Struthio camelus: one gene and its partners. The protein of the gene in region 1 purifies or fractionates together with the protein of each later gene. This does not show direct contact. Links are inferred from orthologs where the notes say so. Each region holds a gene or a part of one and is shown on either strand. Other genes may lie near its edges.

Region 1 (7,064 bases):
GTTAGGCTGCTGCAGTACAGCTGGACCACGTGGAGCCAGGCCTCTGCCGGCAGCCAAGTGGAGCAGCTGGAGCTGCAGAGGAGCTGGAAGCCTCGGAGGAAAAGCACAGAGAACTGGAGGTAGTGGGCAAAAGGCCGGAGGTTGAGCAGGGGCATGTACTGGACGTACTCCAGCGTGTACGGCACATGTAAGACTTGCCTCTGCAGCAAGCTTTGGACCACATGCGCCAGCCTCTTCCATTCGCTAAGGCTGCACCAAGGGAGGACCTGTATGAGGGCCACCAGGAACCCTTTGCTGAAGAGATTCACTTCTTCAGGGTTGTCCACGTTGACCGTGAGGAGCGTCAGCATCGTCTCCCTGAGCGCTGTGGACACGCAGCAGCACTCCATCCATGCCAAGAGCCCGCTGCCCGGCCCGTAGGCTGGTAAAGGCCGGGACGTCCACTCGTCCTCTGGGAGCTTGCAGATCTCAAATAGCGTCTCTGGGACCTCATTCTTGAAATGGTCTCCGTAAAGCTTCTTCAGGTGGAGACCAACAGTCCAGTCCAGTGATGCCAACTTCCTATGAAGCCAAGCCAGCGACTGGACCCACACCTCAGGGGATGGGGCGGCTTCTGGTCTTACCACTTCACAGAGTTGGGAGAGGGTGTTCACCACCAGGTCTTTGGTCTCCAGTGAAGGGAAGTGCTGGTCCCTGGGCCGATGCCAGTACCTTGTGTAACCATCCAGAAGCTTGCAGAGGCTGAGGAGGAGCGGGAATGGGTAGCAGGACTTGATCCAGTGCTCTTCTGGATAGGACTGCATCCCCAAAACCTTACTGAGGATCTGCAGGCTCAGCTCAATTTGAGCGCAGTCTGATTTCAAACAGGGAAGGATAAAGGCTTTAGTCACCTCTGCAGGTGACACAAGTGGAGCTGCTGAGCTTGGCTGCATGAGAAAGGCCAAGAACTCAAGAAACTGTTCCTCTTCTCTCGCTGTGGAAAGCTTCCCCCATACCGCCTCCTTCAGACACCTCACTATCAGACTGCGTGGCCTGCCTGGATCATCGTGGGTCTCCAGGAAGCTCAGTGCTGGGAAGGAGCAGAGGATTTGGGCAAGGAACTGGTGTGTTCCTAGGTTGACAACAGCAAGATTACAAACCTTCTTCACGGTGGCCTCAGGGTACAGCAGAGTGAGCCTGGCCACAGAAGCCACAGCCCTGGACAGGCCTTGATCGGACACGCTCTGCGTTATCTGGTTGAACGTCACATTCAGATCCTCCTGGAATCCCTCCATGACAACCTGCAAGTTCAGGGACAGACCCGGACCACCCCAGGAAGCCAGGACACCTGAGAGGACTTCATTCTTGTCAGTTAATGAAAGCTCAGTGTAACACTCCAGGATGGCTCTGGTCACTTGCATCTGCAACTCTCGGGCCTCCCTGTCTTGGGAGGACACAGTAAAGTTCACCACAGTATCCAGCAATTTCAAAACTAGCTCTGGTTTCTGGAAGAGAGTTTTGTTTTTCACAAGGCAGTCAACCCAGTCCTTTGAAAAGGCCCAGGTCTGTTCAGAAGCAAAAACGGAGCACATCTCCACGTGCCGGTCCAGCTTCCGCTCAATGATTGTCATGGCAACTGAAGAGACAAGGCTGGTGTCTGAATCCTTGCTCTTCAGACTGGTGCTGATCTTCTTGAGAAAGTCCCCGATGATCTGTGTCAGCTCTAGCACTACGGACTTCTCGTCCTCGCTCAGGTCTCTAGTCTCTGAGAAGCAAACCAGGTTCTTTCTGAGGGTGGTAAGCGTATCAAGGAGCCGGTAGCTCTCATAGCAGAGCTCCTCAGAGTTGTTCAGAGTGCCCTGCAGCTCCTCTCCCCAGGCATGCAGCAAGGTGCGGAGAAAGTCCAAGCCAGCAAAGAGCTCCTCGTCAGAGAGCTTGACGACGGACAAGAGGCTCATGCTTCTCTCAGCCTCCCTCACTTTCTCGTCCAGCCCTCTCCGGTGGTACCGGCTTTCAGCATCGCTGTTCCAGAGGCTGACCACGGAGCTGACCTTGTCCAGGTACTCAGCAACGGGGAGGGACCTGCCCTCTGGCTCCAGCTCGGTGAACACAGAGAGCAGCTCCGCCAGGTTGGCCAAGGCGTAGCACCTCATGCGGGGCAGGGTGATGCTCCTGTAGGTCTGTTTCAGCCCCTCTATCAGGACCACGAGCAGGCTGGCGGCAGCCGGCGGGCCAGTCACAGAGACAGGGTCGCTCTTGAACCTCTTGGGGGGCTGGAGCCCGTCGTCCGGAGAGGACTCGGACCCGTGCTGACGGATGAGAGCGCTGAACGTCGAGGCCGTCCCGTCCTCCTGCTCCTCCTTGTGCTTCATCACCTCCCACCACACGTCCAGGAAGAAGCTGACGTCCGCCGGGGAGGTCTCGCTGGCGACGTACTCCACCAAGCGCTCCAGCTCGCCCCGGCGCAGGTGGCGGGGCAGCGCCAGCAGCAGCTGCACGAAGAGCCGGGGCACGTTGAGGGCCTTGGCCAGCTCGAAGAGGACGGTGTGGTTAACGTCGGGGATCATCCGCCCGACGGAGAAGAAGGCGTCCTCCCGCCAGCCCCGGTCCAGCGAGGCGGGCGGGGGGCCGGGCAGCAGCACCTTGGCCCACACGATGGCGACGGCCTGTTTCTTCCAGAGGCCGGGGCGCGGCGGGGCGGGGCGGCGGGCGCCGATCTCGCGCAGGGCGTCGGCGATGGGCGGCCCCACCAGCGGCCAGTCGGCCTTGCGCAGCTCCCGCAGCGGCCGCGGCTGGAAGAGCTTGGCGGCCAGCAGGAACCCGCCGTGCAGGATGGCCATCTCCTCGCACACGCCCCACGGCCCTGCGCGGGGACACGCGGCGCACCGTTACCCCGGCCCGGCCCGGCCCGACGCCCCCCCCCCTCCTCCTCCTCCGCCCCCCGCGGCCGCCCGCGCTCACCTGCCTCCATGGCGGCCCCGGCCCGCGCCCCGCGCCGCCGCGCTCTGTGACGCCAGCGCGCCGCCGCCGCCTCAGCGCCCCCTGGCGGCGCGGGGGAGCTGCCGCCGCTGCGCTCCGCCGCCTCAGCGCCCCCTGGCGGCGCGGGGGAGCTGCCGCCGCTGCGCTCCGCCGCCTCAGCGCCCCCTGGCGGAGCGGGGGAGCTGCCGCCGCTGCGCTCCGCCGCCTCAGCGCCCCCTGGCGGAGCGGCGGAGCTGCCGCTGCCGCCGCCGCCGCCGCCTGGCCGGTTCCCGGACAGGGGGGGTGTCACATCCCCCCCCCCCCCCGGGGCAGTAGGAAACCTTTAACAGCTCTGGACGATCTATTTGGGGTCGTGCTACTTAAAAGCTACTTTTCGGACGTGAAGAACTCCTCTCTGCATCTGCCGTGGTTTAAACCCGCGCACGGGAAGGCTCCCCCGCTGCCGGTGCAGCCCCGGGCGGTGCCTGGGCTTCCCACCAGGCCAGGCAGCGAGTGGAACTTTTTTCCCACCCTTTTGACACAACTTTGCAATGATTTTTTTTGTTTGCATGAAAGGCGTTGAGAATTACATTAAAACTGGCAGAACATTGCATAAGAATGCCCTGCAGGGTAGCTGAAAGAACAGATCTCAGATCATCGTCACCACAAAGCACTTTTATTCATTTAATTGCACGTTTTCAAAACAACAGGCTGTGGAGATACAATTTAAGTGTAATATTTTTACTTGATCAGTAGTTGGCTTAATCGAATGAAACAAAAAGCGCAAACAACATATTGAGGATTTTTTCCCATTTTAATTCAGCATATTCCTCGTAAGCATTTAAATTGTCTCAGTGATACACAACTGCTAATGCTGTTGATTTTGCCTCCTTTTTTCTGTAAAACTTATTTCAGGTTTTCATGAAGAAAGATTAAAAGCCAGCTAGCCTGCCGAACATGAACAATGCTAGTAATGAGTCCCTGTATTCCCAAGTTCTCATTCCACTAGCAAAAGCAGAGCGACTTTATTCCAACCCATAAACCCATAACCATTGCTTCCAAAAGGTAATTTAACATCAAAGCTAACTGCAAAGCCATGTGTACGTATCTGAAGTTACTTCCTGGCCCCTCAGGGGAAGGCACGGAGCTGTTGCACCCCCCGAGGCACAGCCAGGCTCCAGCCTGGAACGTGCGGTGCTGTGTGCTGCGCTGAGCAGCTACGCAGGCAGGGGCTGGGTACGGGATCGAATACATCCAGTGGATTCACGTAGTATGACCCCAGTGAGAAATCCATCCAGCTTTCCAAAGTGCATACTTCACCGTGAAAGCCAGGCAAAGATTTTGGAATGAAAATAATTTTCCAGACTAGAATATTCACATGCATCACCAGGATAGTTACCCTGTTCTCAATAAATAAGAGTCCGCTATCATAGCTACAAAATGGTCAAGTTCTCTGTAGACACCCCCTCAGCTTCAGCTTGAAACTTCATCACCAAAGCAGGACAGCTGCCATATTCAGGGCCAGAGCTACCTGAAAACCTATTTTCTGAGCAGCAAATCCAGGTTGGCCAAACCCAATTAACTGGAGGACTAGATAGTCTAATAAATCCACAGATTCTAATGAATCTACAGATTTATTATAGAATAAGCTTTAATAGTACCTGCTCTCTGACTCTACCATTGTTGATAAGCTTTTGACATGGAAATTTTCTCCTTAACTTATCCCATCCATTAATGGGAACAGAATAGGCCTTTTCCACGTAATATTCTTATGTTACTATTGACCTCACGTTTTGCTTTAATAGTGAATGTTTGAGAACATCTGTAAATAGCTTTCATTTCATCCACAAACTTAATTCCTATTTTAATTCTTTAATGAATATAGCCAATTAATTAGGGTCCCACTTTTTAATTATCTTTTAATACCTTTGTTTCAATACATCAGAAATTTGCCTCTGGTGACATTAAACAGGAAAACCGTAGAAGCGTTATTCACTCACAACCATGGCAGAAGGCTAACTGAGGACAGCTGCTCACAGCACGCTAACAGCTGTTAACAGCGCACTACACAAGATATCAGAGAGCTGTAGCAGTGTTAGAGGAGAAACTCTGGGCCTCCTTTTCAAGTCTAACAGGAATAGAGAAATGTGAGAGATTTTCTACCTATTAACTCATGGTTCCTGTTTTTGAAGCCATATGCTCAATCTGTTCCTTACTGTACAACCCAATTTTTTGCATACATTTGAAGGAGCACGTAGCATTTACTGGAAAGGAGAGATTAGCATTAAGAGATACAAGCTCAAAAAAACCCCCAGCATTACACTGGCCTCTTATTGAAGAGGATAACACAACACGTTACATATTATAGGCATTTCACTCAGATGGCAACCAAGGCACAAATGATCAGACGAGTCTTATTCTCCAACTAAGCAGAAGCCTTCTTCATGTTTTTCTCTGCAAACCATTTGTCACTCTTGTCTGCTGCCATGGCCTGTACAAAGAAAAATTTTAGTATTTAGAACAGAAGCCCATTCAGCCAGACACCTGGTTGCTGACATTCACCAGCCTGCCCCACAAATTTAGAAAGCATCCTTATAATCAATCTAGTTCTGAAGCAAGCTATTCTGCTGAGGAAACCTCATGGTTTCTGCCAGTGCCTCTCTGTCGCGGAAGGATCTTCAACTGCAGGGATGTTACTGCAGCTGACAAATCATTTTCTGCAGTAACTTGCACCAAAGTGTTGTTTGACAGGTCCAGCAAGATGCACAACCTCTTGGCTGCCCTGAGAACAAGGCTGGAAAACTAGCCAGGACACAGAAGTGAACTCTAAAAATTGATTTGCTTTCCTTAGCTGGAAAGGAGACTGAGATAAAACACCACATGACTTGCTTCTCTGAAAAAACTCCATTTGGAACTAAAGGGAGCTTCCTTGGAAAGGAAATTAAATTCTACTGGGCGTCTAACTGATCAGTATGAAAACTCATGCATAGACAGCATTACTTACATCATCTAACAGTTTATCACCATTAGGATCCACCTTGGACAGATCTCTAAATGCTTCATCTCCCACAAAGCAGATTTCATGGCCATCCTAAACCAAGTTTAACAGCACAGTAAGTTAGATAACTGGGAGACAGATATTTAAATCAAATCTGTCAGTCTTGCCAATATTACTCACAGGATCCGCCAAAATAATCACTTGCACTGTGGCTTTGCCAGGTGTGTCCAAGCTAACTAGAGGTGTTAAAATTTTCTGATGCTCCTTTTTCATGAGTGCTTCAATGTTTGGCAACTGAAACAGAAAAGAAACAAGACCAGCCCTAGTCAGTTGAAGATCAGATGCATTCAGGTTGTTCTCGTTTACAGTTTCCTGTTAGCCCGTTTCTCCATTGTGTTCTCACTGCAAGAAATAGGAACAGAACATCTGTTCAGTGTTACTTTGTTCACATCTGAGATATTTTGTTAATACCAGAAAATAATCTCCTAGTAGCCAGCTGGCCAAATGAAAGGGGGAAGAGAAAAAAGATTACCTCTTCCTTTGCGCAGGAAAAGGCAATCCGCCCAAATGCCGTCCCATGATCCACTGCTCCTCCAACGTTCTTCAACTCCAATTTACACTGGAAGAGGAAAAAAATAGCCTAATTTGCAAGGACACTATTCTCAGCGCTACACTTAACTCCAGCTTTTCACTGATACCGATGATGTCAAAACTACCCACATACATATTTCCCAATGAGTTAGAACTACCAGAGCAAGCCATAGCTTTTGGTTAAAAAATGAATTAAGTGCACACAAGCACACACACACACAAACAATCCAAAGTAGGAAAGACTGAGAATTGTTGACAGTTTCAGCCTTTCTTTGCAAAACATTGAACAAGTAAGTTCACTTGCAGGTAAGTGTCTCAACGGAACAGTCAACTTGTACCACTGATTTCTATTTGTATAAGCATTCTGGGCAATAATTCACAAAGGAGAAATGCTTTTAACAAATCATTTAAAATGTAAACCCAGAAGCATTAACAACCGTGAGAATCTCTTCTCTTGCAACGTGTAAGAGGTAAGATAGAAGCAGGATGCACTAATAAAAGCTAATGTTGAAAAGGTCAGAGAAACACTTGTTTTTAT
Region 2 (6,939 bases), on another chromosome or scaffold:
TTCCCTAGTGAGAGTAATGGGGGGACCCCACTGGTGACAGGGACCCTCCCAGGTGCCACCTTACAGCTATAGGGCACTCCCTTAAGCCCCTATGTAGAGGGACACCTGGGACCTCCTCTAAGTCCTTGGAGGTCCCAGGTGCCCCCCTACAACTATGGGTCACCCTCTTAAGTCCTTGTGGGTCCCAGGTGTCCTCCTACACCTGTGGGTCACCCCCTTAAGGCCTTGGAGGTCCCAGGTGTCCTCCTACACCCATGGGTCACCCACTAATTCCTTGGAGGTCCCAGGTGTCCTCCTACACCCGTGGGTCACCCCCTAAGTCCTTGGAGGTCCCAGGTGTCCTCCTACACCCGTGGGTCACCCCCTAAGTCCTTGGAGGTCCCAGGTGTCCTCCTACACCCGTGGGTCACCCCCTAAGTCCTTGGAGGTCCCAGGTGTCCTCCTACACCCGTGGGTCACCCCCTAAGTCCTTGGAGGTCCCAGGTGTCCTCCTACACCCGTGGGTCACCCGCTAAGTCCTTGGAGGTCCCCTGCCCCCACCACCCCCCACCGTCGTCACCGAGGGATCCCCACCGCCGCCGTCCGCCTGTCACCGTCCGCTGTCCCCGCGTCACCCAGGGGTCCCCGCCGCCGTCACCGCGCCAGCCCCGGGGAGGGGTTGTCCCCCACCGCCGCCCCCCGGGTGTCCCCCACCACCGTCCGTCCCCCCACCCCCCCCCGTCACCGGGGCGTCCCCGACCGCCGTCCCGCCGCCGGCTGTGTCCCGTAAACACCCGCCCGGCTCCGACGGTGTCGGGTTCCCCCCCCCCCCGCCACCAAAACACCCCGCGGGCTAAAAATAACGAGGTGGCGACGGCGGTTCGGGGGGGGGATGGGGAGCCCGGACGCCTGGGCCCTCTCCCGTGTCCTTCCCCCCCCCCAGCCGTGACACCCGGCCCCATAGCGGGGGTGGGGGAGGGACCCAGGCGTCCGGGCCCCGTCCGCATGGGCGTTGTCACCCGGCGCTACAGGGTGACGGGACTGTTGTTGGGGTTGCTGGGGGGGGGTTGTCACCCCGGTTGCTATGGCTGGGACAGGTCACGGGTGCTGAGGGGGGGTCGTCACCGCGGTTGCTAGGGCAAGGACAGGTCATGGTTGCTATGGTGAGAATTGTCACCCTGGTTGCTAAGACAAAGGTAGATGAGGGTTGTTGTGGGTACGTTGTCACCCTGGTTGCCGTGGGGGGGATAGCGGTTGTCACGCGGTTGCTAGGAGGTGACGGGGGGCTGTTTGCCTGGTTGCTAAGAGGTGACAGGAACAGTGTTGTGGTTGCTATGGGGGGGTCGTCACCCTGGTTGCTATGGCAGGGATAAGGTGGCTGTTGCTATGGGAGGAGGGTCGTCACCCTGGTTGCTAGGGAGGGGATGAGGTGGTCACCTCGGTTGCTATGGGGAAGGTCAGGGGTCACCACCCCGGTCGCCATGGAGGAGGGGTCAGAGGTCACCACCCCGGTCGCCATGGAGGAGGGGTCAGAGGTCACCACCCCGGTCGCCATGGAGGGGTCAGGGGTCACCACCCCGGTCGCCATGGAGGAGGGGTCAGGGGTCGCCACCCCAGTCGCCATGGAGGGGTCAGGGGTCACCACCCTGGTCACCATGGAGGAGGGGTCAGGGGTCACCACCCCGGTCGCCATGGAGGAGGGGTCAGAGGTCACCACCCCGGTCGCCATGGGGAGGGGTCAGAGGTCACCACCCCGGTCGCCATGGAGGGGTCAGAGGTCACCACCCCGGTCACCATGGAGGAGGGGTCAGAGGTCACCACCCCGGTCGCCATGGAGGAGGGGTCAGAGGTCACCACCCCGGTCGCCATGGAGGGGTCAGGGGTCGTCACCCCGGTCACCATGGAGGAGGGGTCAGAGGTCACCACCCCGGTCGCCATGGAGGAGGGGTCAGGGGTCACCACCCCGGTCGCCATGGAGGGGTCAGAGGTCACCACCCTGGTCGCCATGGGGAGGGGTCAGAGGTCACCACCCCGGTCGCCATGGAGGAGGGGTCAGGGGTCGCCACCCTGGTCGCCATGGAGGGGTCAGGGGTCGTCACCCCGGTCGCCATGGAGGGGTCAGAGGTCACCACCCCGGTCGCCATGGAGGAGGGGTCAGGGGTCACCACCCTGGTCGCCATGGAGGAGGGGTCAGAGGTCACCACCCTGGTCGCCATGGAGGAGGGGTCAGAGGTCACCACCCCGGTCGCCATGGAGGGGTCAGAGGTCACCACCCTGGTCGCCATGGGGAGGGGTCAGAGGTCACCACCCCGGTCGCCATGGAGGAGGGGTCAGGGGTCACCACCCTGGTCGCCATGGAGGAGGGGTCAGAGGTCACCACCCCGGTCGCCATGGAGGGGTCAGAGGTCACCACCCTGGTCGCCATGGGGAGGGGTCAGAGGTCACCACCCCGGTCGCCATGGAGGAGGGGTCAGGGGTCGCCACCCTGGTCGCCATGGAGGGGTCAGGGGTCGTCACCCCGGTCGCCATGGAGGGGTCAGAGGTCACCACCCCGGTCGCCATGGAGGAGGGGTCAGGGGTCACCACCCTGGTCGCCATGGAGGAGGGGTCAGAGGTCACCACCCTGGTCGCCATGGAGGAGGGGTCAGAGGTCACCACCCCGGTCGCCATGGAGGGGTCAGAGGTCACCACCCTGGTCGCCATGGAGGAGGGGTCAGGGGTCACCACCCCGGTCGCCATGGAGGAGGGGTCAGGGGTCACCACCCTGGTCGCCATGGAGGGGTCAGGGGTCGCCACCCCGGTCGCCATGGGGAGGGGTCAGGGGTCGTCACCCCGGTCGCCATGGAGGGGTCAGGGGTCGTCACCCCGGTCGCCATGGAGGAGGGGTCAGAGGTCACCACCCCAGTCACCATGGAGGAGGGGTCAGAGGTCACCACCCCGGTCGCCATGGAGGAGGGGTCAGAGGTCACCACCCCGGTCGCCATGGAGGGGTCAGAGGTCACCACCCTGGTCGCCATGGAGGAGGGGTCAGGGGTCACCACCCCGGTCGCCATGGAGGAGGGGTCAGGGGTCACCACCCTGGTCGCCATGGAGGGGTCAGGGGTCGCCACCCCGGTCGCCATGGGGAGGGGTCAGGGGTCGTCACCCCGGTCGCCATGGAGGGGTCAGGGGTCGTCACCCCGGTCGCCATGGAGGAGGGGTCAGAGGTCACCACCCCAGTCACCATGGAGGAGGGGTCAGAGGTCACCACCCCGGTCGCCATGGAGGAGGGGTCAGAGGTCACCACCCTGGTCGCCATGGGGAGGGGTCAGAGGTCACCACCCTGGTCACCATGGAGGAGGGGTCAGGGGTCGCCACCCCGGTCGCCATGGAGGGGTCAGGGGTCACCACCCTGGTCACCATGGAGGAGGGGTCAGAGGTCACCACCCCGGTCGCCATGGAGGAGGTCAGGGGTCACCACCCCAGTCGCCATGGAGGAGGTCAGAGGTCACCACCCTGGTCGCCATGGAGGAGGGGTCAGGGGTCGTCACCCCGGTCACCATGGAGGAGGGGTCAGAGGTCACCACCCCGGTCGCCATGGCGCCCCCAGGGCCCCCCCCCTCCCGCCGGTTGCTAAGGAAGGGGTCTCCCGCCCTCAGGTTGCTATGGAGGGGGGGGCGGGCCCGTCGCCTTGACAACAGCGCGGCGGCGGCGGCAGCGGCCGGGGTGGGGGGGGTGGGGACTATATTGCCGGCAGCGGCGCGGCGGAGGGATCCGCTGCCTGGCGGCGGCGGTTCCGCGTCCCCAGCGGCGCGCGCGCGCGGGCCCCGCCCCCTCCCCCCCCCCCTCCTCCGCCCACAGCCGCCGGCGCCCGCAGCGAGTCCCGGCGGCGGCGGCGCGATCCGGGGGCCGCGGTGATGCGGCCGCGCAGGCGCAGAGCGCGCGCAGCGGCCAGGCCGGAGCAGGCGGAGGGAGCGCGAGCGCCCGGGGGGCCGGTGCGGCGGGTGCGGTCACGTGGGGGGGGGATGGGGATGGGGGTGGGGGGGGCGGTGTGGGGCCGGGGCCGTGCCGGGAAGGGGGCCTGGTGTGGGGCCGGGGGGGCCGGAGGTGCGGGGAGGGGCCTGGTGGGGGGCCGGGGGGGGCTGTGTGAGGCCTGGGGGGGCTGTGTGGGGCCGGGGGGGGCTGTGGGCGTGGGGAAGAGGCCTGGTGGGGGGCCGGGGGGGGCTGTGTGGGGCCGAGGGAGCTGTAAGGGGCCGGGGGGGGGCTGTGGGTGTGGGGAAGAGGCCTGGTGTGGGGCTGGGGGGGGATGTGTGGGGCTGGGGGGGGCTGGAGGTGCAGGGAGGGGCCTGTTGTTGGGCCGGGGGGGCTGTGTGGGGCCGGGGGGGGCTGTGGGTGTGGGGAAGGGGCCTGTTGTGGGGCTGGGGGGGCCGGAGGTGCGGAGAGGGGCCTGGTGTGAGGCTGTGTGGGGCCGGGGGTGCGGGGGGGGGCCTCTATGGGGCCGGGCGGGGGGCTGTGTGGGGCTGGGGGGGCCGGGAGTGCGGGGAGGGGCCTGGTGTGGGGCTGTGTGGGGTTAGGAGTGCAGGGAGGGGCCTGGTGTGGGGCTGGGGGGGGCTCTGTGGGGCTGGTGGGACTGTGGGTGTGGGGAAGGGGCCTGTTGTTGGGCCGGGGGGGCTGTAGGTTTGGGGAAGGGCCCTGTTGTGGGGCTGTGTGGGGTTAGGAGCGCGGGGAGGAGCCTGGTGTGGGGCTGGGGGGGCTCTGTGGGGCTGGGGGTGTGGGAAAAAGGGGTCCAGGGGGGCTGCGTGGGGCTGGGGGGGGGGGCGCCACTCAGTCACAGGGTTTTTTTGCCCGCAGTCAGCCCCAAAATGACGCAGTTCCTGCCCCCCAACCTGCTGGCCCTCTTCGCCCCCCGCGACCCCATCCCCTACCTGCCCCCCCTGGAGAAGCTGCCCCACGAGAAGCACCACAACCAGCCCTACAGCGGCATCGCCCCCTACATCCGCGAGTTCGAGGTGCGCCCGGCCCCGCGGCCCCCCGCCTGGCCCCCCTATACCACCCCCTATACCACCCCCTATATCACCCCCTATATCCCCCCCCCCGTCTCCGCAGGACCCTCGCGATGCCCCGCCGCCGACCCGCGCCGAGACGCGGGAGGAGCGCATGGAGCGCAAGGTAGGTGCCGCCCGCCCCGCCGTGGGGTTTTGGGGATCCCCCCTGCCCGCCGAGGGGCTGCGGAGCACCGTCGGCCCCCCAAAATCGCGGGATTTTGGGGATTCGGGTTGGGTTTTGGGGCTGCTTCACCTCGACGTCGCTCTCTGCGTGACCTGTGTGGGTTTTGGGGCTCCCCCCGTGCCTGTCATGGGGTTTTGGGGCTCCCCCCGTGCCCGCCGTGGGGTTTTGGGGTTCCCCCCGCCCGCCAAGGGGCCGCGGAGCACCGTCGGCCCCCCAGAATCGCGGGATTTTGGGGATTCGGGTTGGATTTTGGGGCTGCTTCACCTCGACATCGCTCTCTGCGTGACTTGTGTGGGTTTTGGGGCTCCCCCCGTGCCTGTCATGGGGTTTTGGGGCTCCCCCCGTGCCCGCCGTGGGGTTTTGGGGTTCCCCCCGCCCGCCGAGGGGCTGCGGAGCACCGTCGGCCCCCCAAAATCGCGGGATTTTGGGGATTCGGGTTGGATTTTGGGGCTGCTTCACCTCGACGTCGCTCTCTGCGTGACTTGTGTGGGTTTTGGGGCTCCCCCCGTGCCTTTCGTGGGGTTTTGGGGCTCCCCCCGTGCCCGCCGTGGGGTTTTGGGGTTCCCCCCGCCCGCCGAGGGGCCGCGGAGCACCGTCGGCCCCCCAAAATCGCGGGATTTTGGGGATTCGGGTTGGGTTTTGGGGCTGCTGCTTCTTGATGTCGCTCTCTGCGTGACCTGTGTGGGTTTTGGGGCTCCCCCCGTGCCCGCCGTGGGGTTTTGGGGCTCCCCCCGTGCCCGCCGAGGGGCCGCGGAGCACCGTCGGCCCCCCGAAATCGCGGGATTTTGGGGATTCGGGTTGGATTTTGGGGCTGCTTCACCTCGACGTCGCTCTCTGCGTGACCTGTGTGGGTTTTGGGGTCCGCCGTGCCCGCCGTGGGGCTCGGCCTTGGGGTTTTGGGCTCTCCCCACCCGCCGAGGGACCCCGAAGCACCACCGACCCCCAAAATCGCGGGGTTTGGAGGCTGGCGGGCGCCGCGCTCCCCTCTCCGACCCCCTCTCGCTCCCCGCAGAGACGCGAGAAGATCGAGCGGCGGCAGCAGGAGGTGGAAAACGAACTCAAGATGTGTAAGTGGCGCCGGGACAGACGGACGCTTCCGGCTTTTCCGTCGGGGGGGGGCAACCGGGAGCCGTTTTCCGACTGTTTTCCACCCTTTTTCCTGCCCCTAGGGGACCCCCACAACGACCCCAACGCTCAGGGAGACGCCTTCAAAACCCTTTTCGTGGCCAGAGTGGTGAGTGCGGGGCTGGGGGCTGCGAGGGGGCTGGGGAGGGGGCTCCGCCGTCGCCCCCCCCCCAGCCCGCGCTCTCCCCTCCCCGCAGAACTACGACACGACGGAGTCCAAGCTGAGACGCGAGTTCGAGGTCTACGGCCCCATCAAGCGGGTGAGGGAGCCGGGGGGGGGTCCTGGGGGGGCTCTGAGGTCCTCTGTGGCTCGCTGGGGGTCCTGGGGGGCAAGCGGGTTGTTCGGGCTGGGGCAGGCGGCTCGGTGGGGGTCCTGGGGGGCAAGCGGCTGATTCGGGACCAGGGCAGGGTGCTTGGTGGGGGTCCTGGGGGGCAAGCGGCTGATTCGGGACCAGGGCAGGGGGCTCGGTGGGAGTCTTGGGGGGCAAGTGGCTGATTCAGGACCAGGGCAGGGGGCTCGGTGGGGGTCCTGGGGGGCAAGTGGCTGATTCAGGACCAGGGCAGGGGGCTCGGTGGAGGTCCTGGGGGGGCAAGCGGCTAATTCGGGACCAGGGCAGGGGGCTCGGT
Region 3 (7,707 bases), on another chromosome or scaffold:
TGTGCCCAGGATGGGAGAAACTCTTTATGATTTTTGGAACCTTTCAGGCCCCCTCATCTAGAGAGCAAAGTTTCTGATAGAATTGGGACAGAAAGCAGTCGTCTTCCCTGCAGGAAGAAGAGCAAGTTCCTGGGAATTAGCATTTGTCTCCATTTCAAATGCAGCAAAAGACTGTCACGGTGCACATGCTGTGACTCGCGAACCAGGCAATAATCCTGCCAGCTGCTGCACACAGGCAGTGCCCTCTTGCATGGAGCTTTGTGCGATGTACGAGTACAGGGCAGCAAACTGAGCTGGGGCCTCAGAGGTCAGATAGTGAGCCCTTAGCACATTTGCATGGTTGTACAGAGAGACTGGAAGTATCTCAGTTTGCACCACTCTGTAGTTTTGACTGTGAGTTATTTGTTCTACAAAACTATTTGATTAAATCAAAATGCACCTGATAACTCGCATTTTACTGTGAGACACCGTGTGTATTTTCTGGATCTGAAACCCAGAGGCAAAGGCACTCCTTTGACTCATGGCAGAATATATATATTCAGAGATTTTAAAACAAAGTTAGTAGCAGTAGAGTCATAATCTTCTACAGGTGTAAGGTTTAAGGGAGAAGCAAAACCTTTCGTTAGATGAACTGAGATAGCTCAAGAGGGAAAGCTTTTAGGATCTGAGCATCTGGTCTATCAGACACAGACAGTCTAGTCTCATCCTGAGTCATGCCTCGATAACATCATCATCTACCAGGGCTCCTGGCATGGTATAGAGGCAGAGTTAAGCTCGTTTTTGTACCTGAGCAGGTACGCATGACCTGCAGACGCTTCTGGAGCTGGAGCTTATGTGAAACATCAGGTGCTGCGGAACACAGTAGACCACATGAAATGGCTGGGAGGGCTTATTAATGTGAATTAGCAACTGTCCACAGATTTACTTGAGAAATCATGCAAAAGAGCCTATCTGCCAACTTTGAGCTACAGGCTGTATGCACATTGCGGGGAATGAGGGGGACTGCATGTCCCCCTCATGCATGAGGAGCATGTCCTCAATTTGACACAGCACAACCAGTGAGGGCCAAAAACAAAGGGAGAGGAACAATAAATCTGCCAGTCGTGGTGTCATAGTGCTACTCAGCATAGACATTGAGATGGTTTGGAACCTCTCCCTCCTGCATCTGACGGAGATTGAGAAAATTAAATAAACAGCAGCATCTTTGGAATTAAGGTAGTGCATCTCAATGTCCTATTAACAATGCATCTCAGAGAACGATGACTTCTGTAACCAAATCACCTGAGTTGCATTACAACATGCCTGCTATCCTTGCTGCTATATCCATGCCTGCTGCAGTTGCTTTATCACTTCTTCCCTGTCCTTCCCCCAGGTAGGGTGCAGATACTTCCCACTGCTCTTCATTGTCTGTTCAAATCAGATCAATTTAAAAGGGTTATGAGAGGCTGTCTCTAATCAAACCATTTGTTATGTCCAGGTCTCCTTGTCTGTCTCCATTCCCAGATTTATCCGGAGACAATTCTCTCATGTTAGAGACTTGTTTCCCCTTTAGGACCAACTGGGAATATCCACCTAAAAATTGAAAAATAATTGGAACTAACAGAATGCTTGTGAATAGCTATCCTGTTACCTCTGCTCTGTGGCAGAGTTCTCCTCCCTACCATCTGGTTTGTCCTGACCTCGTAGAGATAAGCTCTCCAAAGCAGAAACTGTATATTCTTTTTTGTATTGTGCTTGACACAATGGGGCCCCAGTCTTGGTTGGTACTCAAATATTCATGTAAAAAGATCATTAAAAAAAAACAGACTTTTTTTCCCCATCAGTAATATGATGGAATTGCAAAGGAGTCGCAGAGAGTGTACTACGCTAAGAGCCTTTAAAATTCATTTAGGCTGCCTGGCAATGTAGGAATAATGAACCAGTGTATGTACTCATACACTGGAAGCCACTGTTGAGATTTTTCACATCCCCTTACAACGAATGGGAGCTGCATGTCCAGATCCTCTGAAGGGCTATGACAATAAAAACTGATATGTATAATGAAACCACACACAATTTAAAATAAGCAGTCTACAGAAGGTAGTAAGTAATGCATATACAAGAGATTAATAGATTTGGCCTTTGCTGAAGTTAATGCTGTACTATTAATTTTTCCTAGCACTTTGACTTTTAGATCTTGTTTTTGTACACAATATAACTGCATCCCAGACTTAGAGTGTTTAACAAGAAACTCATTTCTGTTGTCAGGGTGGTAGAACAAAGGCTGAAACTAGAGGGGTCAGAACACAATGTTCGTGCCATTTTCTTACAGTAGGATAGCTTAGAGATTACTGGTGACTGCTTTCTCCCCCAACTAATACAGCTATGGATACTCAGGGCACCTCCTGTCAAGAAGCTTGCTGAAGCTGTTTTGGCACTGCGATCAGTTTTGTACTTCTCATCCTCTTACGCAGCCTTCTACATCATTCCTTTGCTGACCCATCTGCCTTCATTTCCTCTTATGACTCCCTCTCGCTCTATGCTCACTCCTCTCTTCTGACTATTCTCGTGTGTCCTCCTCCTCCCATTTCTGGCCTGGTGCCTTCTTTCACTCCGCCCTGTGCTCAGTTCATCCTCCTACATGCCTTGGGCCACGTTTTCTCTCTATGGTTCAGACTCATTGGCTAATTAAAGCTCCTGCACTGGTCTTGCAGCAAGGCCTCCAGATCTCACTGTAGTGTGTCTGCTCAGGTATTATAGAGGTTTCATCCTCTGTAATATTTGTAAGGTTAAGCTGTTGTGCTGTTCCTAAGACAAATGATCTCAGGAGTGGATGAAAGGTTGCTTAGCTGAATAGGTTTATCTGTCTCCATCTAAAGCATCACTTTTTCCTAGACATAATCATTAATTGCCTCTATGTGGCTAAATGCACCTACGAGATACACAGCGGGGAGTCACAGCCCTAATTATTGCAGTAAACAGGAAATGCTAATGTCAATGGAGAAAACAAAACAAAACAAAATGAAAACAGGAAGCTAGCTGCAAAGATTTGTTGTAATTATTAGCCCCCAAAGCAGACAGTCTGCTTCTGGACTAAACGCATCAAACCTGCCGTAGACTGGCAGGGAGGCATAATCTGTCCCCTATCCTGATCTTTTACAGATAACTCGTTTGCAAGCACCTTGTCCTCTCTTGGAGCGTGTATCTGTTTCCATCTGTTTTAAGGTACCTTATTCCTTATTATGACTGAACTACGAGGTTTAGGAAAAACTCAACTAGATATGCTGTGTCGGTGACCAGCTACCTGTGGAATGGCATGTTCATCAGAGTCAGAGATGGGTGGGTTACCTGTGTTATGGGAATATGTGAAAATACACCAGTCAGTAAGATTTTACTGCACAAAGTCTATTTCAAATATTGTACAGACCACGAAGCTTCATATTGCGTGTTAGGATAACTCTGAAATGCAGTGGTGTTAGAAGGGTTTGAAGGTTATCTCATAGCTTCACCTATAAGCAAGAAACAATTTTTCTAAAGATCACTTGTAGACAGAATCAGATACTAAGATCACTTGTAGACAGAATGGGGGAAAAAATGAGGAAGAAAATGCTGCTGGAGGAAAAGATGACAGCGTGCAGCATCATATAGGGAAGCTGAGGCAGAGGAGGGAGCAACGACGTTAAGGAATAAGGAGTGGATTCTGAAGTCTTAAAAAAGAAGGAAAGAGATATCCCTACTGAGAGCAAGCAGTGGTACTAGATAAGAAAAAGTTAGTGGAGAATGGCCTTAGAAAAACAGGATACAAACATGCTGCACAGATAGAGCCATGGTGAGAATTAGTATTCGCGCTTGGAATGTGAAATTCAGTCAAAATCAGTGGGATCGTTTTCTGCTGATTTTGGTAAACCAGAAATTCATCTGTGGTTTACTCTACTGAAAATTCAAGGTAAGTCATTTAAAACTGCATACAGATTGTTCCAGGTCCCATTTGACGTACCTGCCAGCCGAGGGGAACATCTGCTGTGGCAGGTAACTCGGGGCATTTCGAGTTTTCCTACAGGGACTGTTCTAAGATCTAAATCCCACCCACTCGTCTTTAAGAAGGCAATATCCTTTTCCACCACATCAATCACAAGAGTCAAATTTTTGGTAAAGCGCCTATCAGCCTGAAATAAACTGTACGCCAGGCCGAGCGCATTATTTATTGCCTTGCTTTGGATAGTAATGAAGAGCCTGCGATTTCAGACGGAGCAAAGCAAACGCAGCTTTTGCCCCGAGGGATCACGCCACATGGCTAAATTGTGTAATCAATCATTTCTGTCACGTGGCCACACGGAGAACGATTTTTTTTTTTGTATTTGTTTTTGCAGTTCGTAGAATTTTAATTCTGGAGGGTTTTTTACGCCAAAAACCTCGCCGGCGGCAGCGTGCACTGCCTGGGTGCTCCGAGGGGGCGGCCGCCCCCGCTCTGCCACGGGGCCGCGGCGGGTACCGCTAACCGGCCCGGGCCTGGCAGCCGTGGGCACGGGAGGCTGCGGGGCCCCACGGCGGAGCCTCCGCGCTCCCCGCACCGCCGCCAGGCCCGGGCCGCGCTCCGTGAGGGGGCGCGCGGCGCGCCGCGACCGTTAACGGCCCCGCCCTCAAACGGGCCCCGGCGGCCAATCCGCGCCGCCCCCTGGCGCCCGGCGGCCCCGCCCCTCTCCCCCCGCGGCGCGTGCGCAGGCCCGGGCGGCGCGTAAAGGCGCGTCTGGGGCCGCGCTGCCTCTTCGCCGTCCCGCCTCGCAAGATGGCGGCGCCCGCGGGCTCGCCTCCGCCTCCTGAGGGCCGGTTCCGCACGCGCGACGTCCTGGTGCCCGGGGGCCCCAGCGACTTCGGCTCCTTGCTGCTGTCGGCGCCGGTGCTGGCGGGGCTGGAGGCGGCTGGCTTCCACAGGCCCTCGCCGGTCCAGCTGAAGGCCATCCCGCTGGGGCGCTGCGGCCTGGGTGAGGGGCCGGGGCCGGGCCGGGGCGTCGAGCCGGCAGCGGGGGGGAGAGGGGGCGTTGGGGCGGCGCTGCTGACCCCCTCGGGCCGCTTTCTTCCAGATCTCATCGTGCAGGCCAAGTCCGGCACCGGCAAAACCTGCGTGTTCTCCGCCATCGCTCTGGACGCCCTGCTGCTGGAGAACCCCGCGACGCAGGTGAGCCCCGGCCCCGGGGCCCTTGCCGGGGTCGGGCCTTCCCTCCACCTCGGGAGCGGGAACCGCTGAGGTGGCCTTGGAAGATGGCGCGTTCGCATCTGTGAAACTCCTGCTTCCACCCCTACTGTAACGTGCCATCCTTTAGTTTGCCTCATGAGTGACATGTGCTGTGGTAAAAAGTTACTTCAGTTTTTACCGCTGCTGTGTGAGTTTAGTAGTTAGGAACGAGTTTGAACTCTTAGTAGGTTTTTATATAGAACGTGGTGTTTGAAATCATGAAGCTGGTAGCGTCAAGACTGGTTGCTGTACTTCTGTCTTCTAAACCATTCTGCTGCTTTCAAGGCTAATTCTTTGTCCCTTAAAGATTCTGATCTTGGCTCCGACAAGAGAGATTGCTGTGCAGATTCATGCTGTCGTCACAGCCATCGGAATAAAAATGGAAGGTTTGGAGTGCCATGTCTTCATTGGAGGAACTCCTTTGAACCAGGACAAAATAAGGCTAAGGAAATGCCACATAGCTGTTGGCTCTCCAGGTATGGACATGCTTCAGTGTACTTCAGATACAGTCTGACGCACTTTTCACACTACAATAATTGGTGCTTTTGAAATCTTGATTTTTTTTTTTAACTAATGGGGCCAATCTCAAAGGCCACTGCTAAAAAAAAAATTAGGCCAAATGTTTTTATTGAGACATTATTTTAAATAAACCTTTTAAAAAGAATTTATTGAAATTAATATTAAAAAAATTAAATATTATAAGTCTCCTGATTAGAATCATTCAGTTAATATTTGTGAAGCCTAGATTACTTTTTTATCTTTTGTAGGTCGGATAAAACAACTCATAGAGTTGGATTACTTAAATACAGCCAGTATCCGGCTCTTCATTCTTGATGAAGCAGACAAGCTTCTAGAAGAAGGCAGCTTTCAGGAACAAATTAAGTAAGAAAAATGTTTATCCCCCACACTTAGCAGATTAGATGCATATTTATGAGTCTTTCTTGTAAATGTCCTTCTCTTGTAGTTGGATTTACTCTTCGCTGCCGGCCAATAAGCAGATGCTGGCTGTTTCAGCCACTTATCCTGAATCATTAGCTAGTGCTTTGACCAGGTATATGAGAGAGCCAACATTTGTGAGGTTGAACCCTACTGAGCCAAGTCTCGTTGGTAAGTGTAAGAAACTCATTTACATTTATATGAAATAGATTATTAGGAGTATAATAAAACCAAAATATATGCCTTAACACTTGCAGTGCCTTATCATTTCCCTTTATAGATAAGTTGGTTAGTTCACTAAGTGTTTATTCGCAATATTGCTGTATTTAAAACACCAGTGATAAAGTTACTTTTTTGGTTTTCCTATACTTCAAAAATGTTCCATTCTTTTAAGAAAAATTGTCCTGTAGGTTCTTATTTGGTACCTGTGTTTTTGTTCTAACTTAGTCTTTCTTCTAGCTGCAATTACATTTAAGTTGACAACAATATAGCACATTGCATGTTTTTACTGAAGCCATTAATCTGATGGCCTTTTTTTTTTCCCCCTTGCCCAGGGCTGAAGCAGTATTACAAAATCGTCAATTCCCATCCACTTCCTCATAAGACATTTGAGGAAAAAGTCCAGCACTTACAGGAGCTCTTCAGCAAGATTCCATTTAATCAAGCCTTAGTCTTCTCAAATTTGCATAGCAGGTAATAAATCTGAAATGAAATCTGAAGAAAACTATGCTTGAAAACAGTGGCTATAATATGCAGTCATGTAGCATCTTTTATAAAGGTCTCAAAACACAGCTGAAGCCAAATGCAAATTTCAGATCTGAAATACAGTCACAACATGTAAAATATAGCAGTGTGAAGTATTGAAAAGAAAGGAATGTTTTGGCATGAAGTTACCTCATACGTTGTTTAGACTGCAGTGAGAACTAATATCCTGTCGTACTTTCCCAGTCTGGTCTGACAGATGCAAAATCTGTAAGGTGACTGACTAGTTTGGACATAAGATGAGACTGACAATTTTGGAATGTAATCCTTGCCTGTAAAGAACAGCATGTTGTTAAAAAGGACACATTGACTGTTATGCCTAGCACTGTCTTGGTACTGCTAAGCATGTAGTTTTATTTAGTTTTCATTGTGTATGTCCTGTTAGGGCTCAACATCTAGCTGAGATACTGACATCCAAAGGCTTTCCTGCTGAGTGCATTTCAGGTAAGTCTGTTCAGAACTTTGTGATTCTCTAGGCTGAAGTTTGTGCATACATCTGATCTAAAATGGGAATATTCAGCTTAAAAGCTTGGTTTGTAAGACTTCTGTTTGGATAGCAAAGAATAGTATTTGAATCTTCACAGGTCTTTAAAGACTTGCATGTTATTAATCTAATTTTTCCATTGATCAGCTTTTCTACTTTTTAATCTGTTGCTGACAGTCATTATATGAATATCTAGACAAGTGCATTGATTTATTTTTAAAGAGAAAGTTTATTACACTTGCATCTTCAAGCAGTGTCTGTTTGGAAAGCTGTTGTTGCATTTAAATCCCCCCCCCCAACTTCTCTATTAACG

The links.
Region 2: the proteins of GEMIN4 (region 1) and SNRNP70 purify together in Homo sapiens (affinity purification with mass spectrometry; 5 studies listed by BioGRID and IntAct, counting the BioPlex papers as one, with this or other methods). This does not show direct contact. The link is inferred for Struthio camelus from reciprocal best matches to the Homo sapiens genes GEMIN4 and SNRNP70.
Region 3: the proteins of GEMIN4 (region 1) and DDX20 purify together in Homo sapiens (co-immunoprecipitation; 7 studies listed by BioGRID and IntAct, counting the BioPlex papers as one, with this or other methods). This does not show direct contact. The link is inferred for Struthio camelus from reciprocal best matches to the Homo sapiens genes GEMIN4 and DDX20.

The regions. Positions count from the first base shown.
Region 1 is NC_090957.1:18,138,212-18,145,275, reverse strand, and holds the start of GEMIN4 (gem-associated protein 4), read right to left. Parts: upstream 3,016-7,064; 5' UTR 2,951-3,015; coding exon 2,941-2,950; intron 2,843-2,940; coding exon 1-2,842. Other genes in the region: GLOD4 (glyoxalase domain-containing protein 4), read right to left, coding at 5,363-5,428, 5,942-6,028, 6,116-6,229, 6,468-6,554. UniProt on the Homo sapiens protein: The SMN complex catalyzes the assembly of small nuclear ribonucleoproteins (snRNPs), the building blocks of the spliceosome, and thereby plays an important role in the splicing of cellular pre-mRNAs.
Region 2 is NW_027182627.1:9,730-16,668, reverse strand, and holds the start of SNRNP70 (U1 small nuclear ribonucleoprotein 70 kDa), read left to right. Parts: upstream 1-3,838; 5' UTR 3,839-3,962; intron 3,963-4,809; 5' UTR 4,810-4,820; coding exon 4,821-4,967; intron 4,968-5,064; coding exon 5,065-5,127; intron 5,128-6,199; coding exon 6,200-6,254; intron 6,255-6,356; coding exon 6,357-6,421; intron 6,422-6,509; coding exon 6,510-6,572; intron 6,573-6,939. UniProt on the Homo sapiens protein: Component of the spliceosomal U1 snRNP, which is essential for recognition of the pre-mRNA 5' splice-site and the subsequent assembly of the spliceosome. SNRNP70 binds to the loop I region of U1-snRNA.
Region 3 is NC_090965.1:9,049,466-9,057,172, forward strand, and holds the start of DDX20 (probable ATP-dependent RNA helicase DDX20), read left to right. Parts: upstream 1-4,685; 5' UTR 4,686-4,765; coding exon 4,766-4,961; intron 4,962-5,060; coding exon 5,061-5,155; intron 5,156-5,519; coding exon 5,520-5,688; intron 5,689-5,979; coding exon 5,980-6,094; intron 6,095-6,176; coding exon 6,177-6,319; intron 6,320-6,702; coding exon 6,703-6,841; intron 6,842-7,295; coding exon 7,296-7,354; intron 7,355-7,707.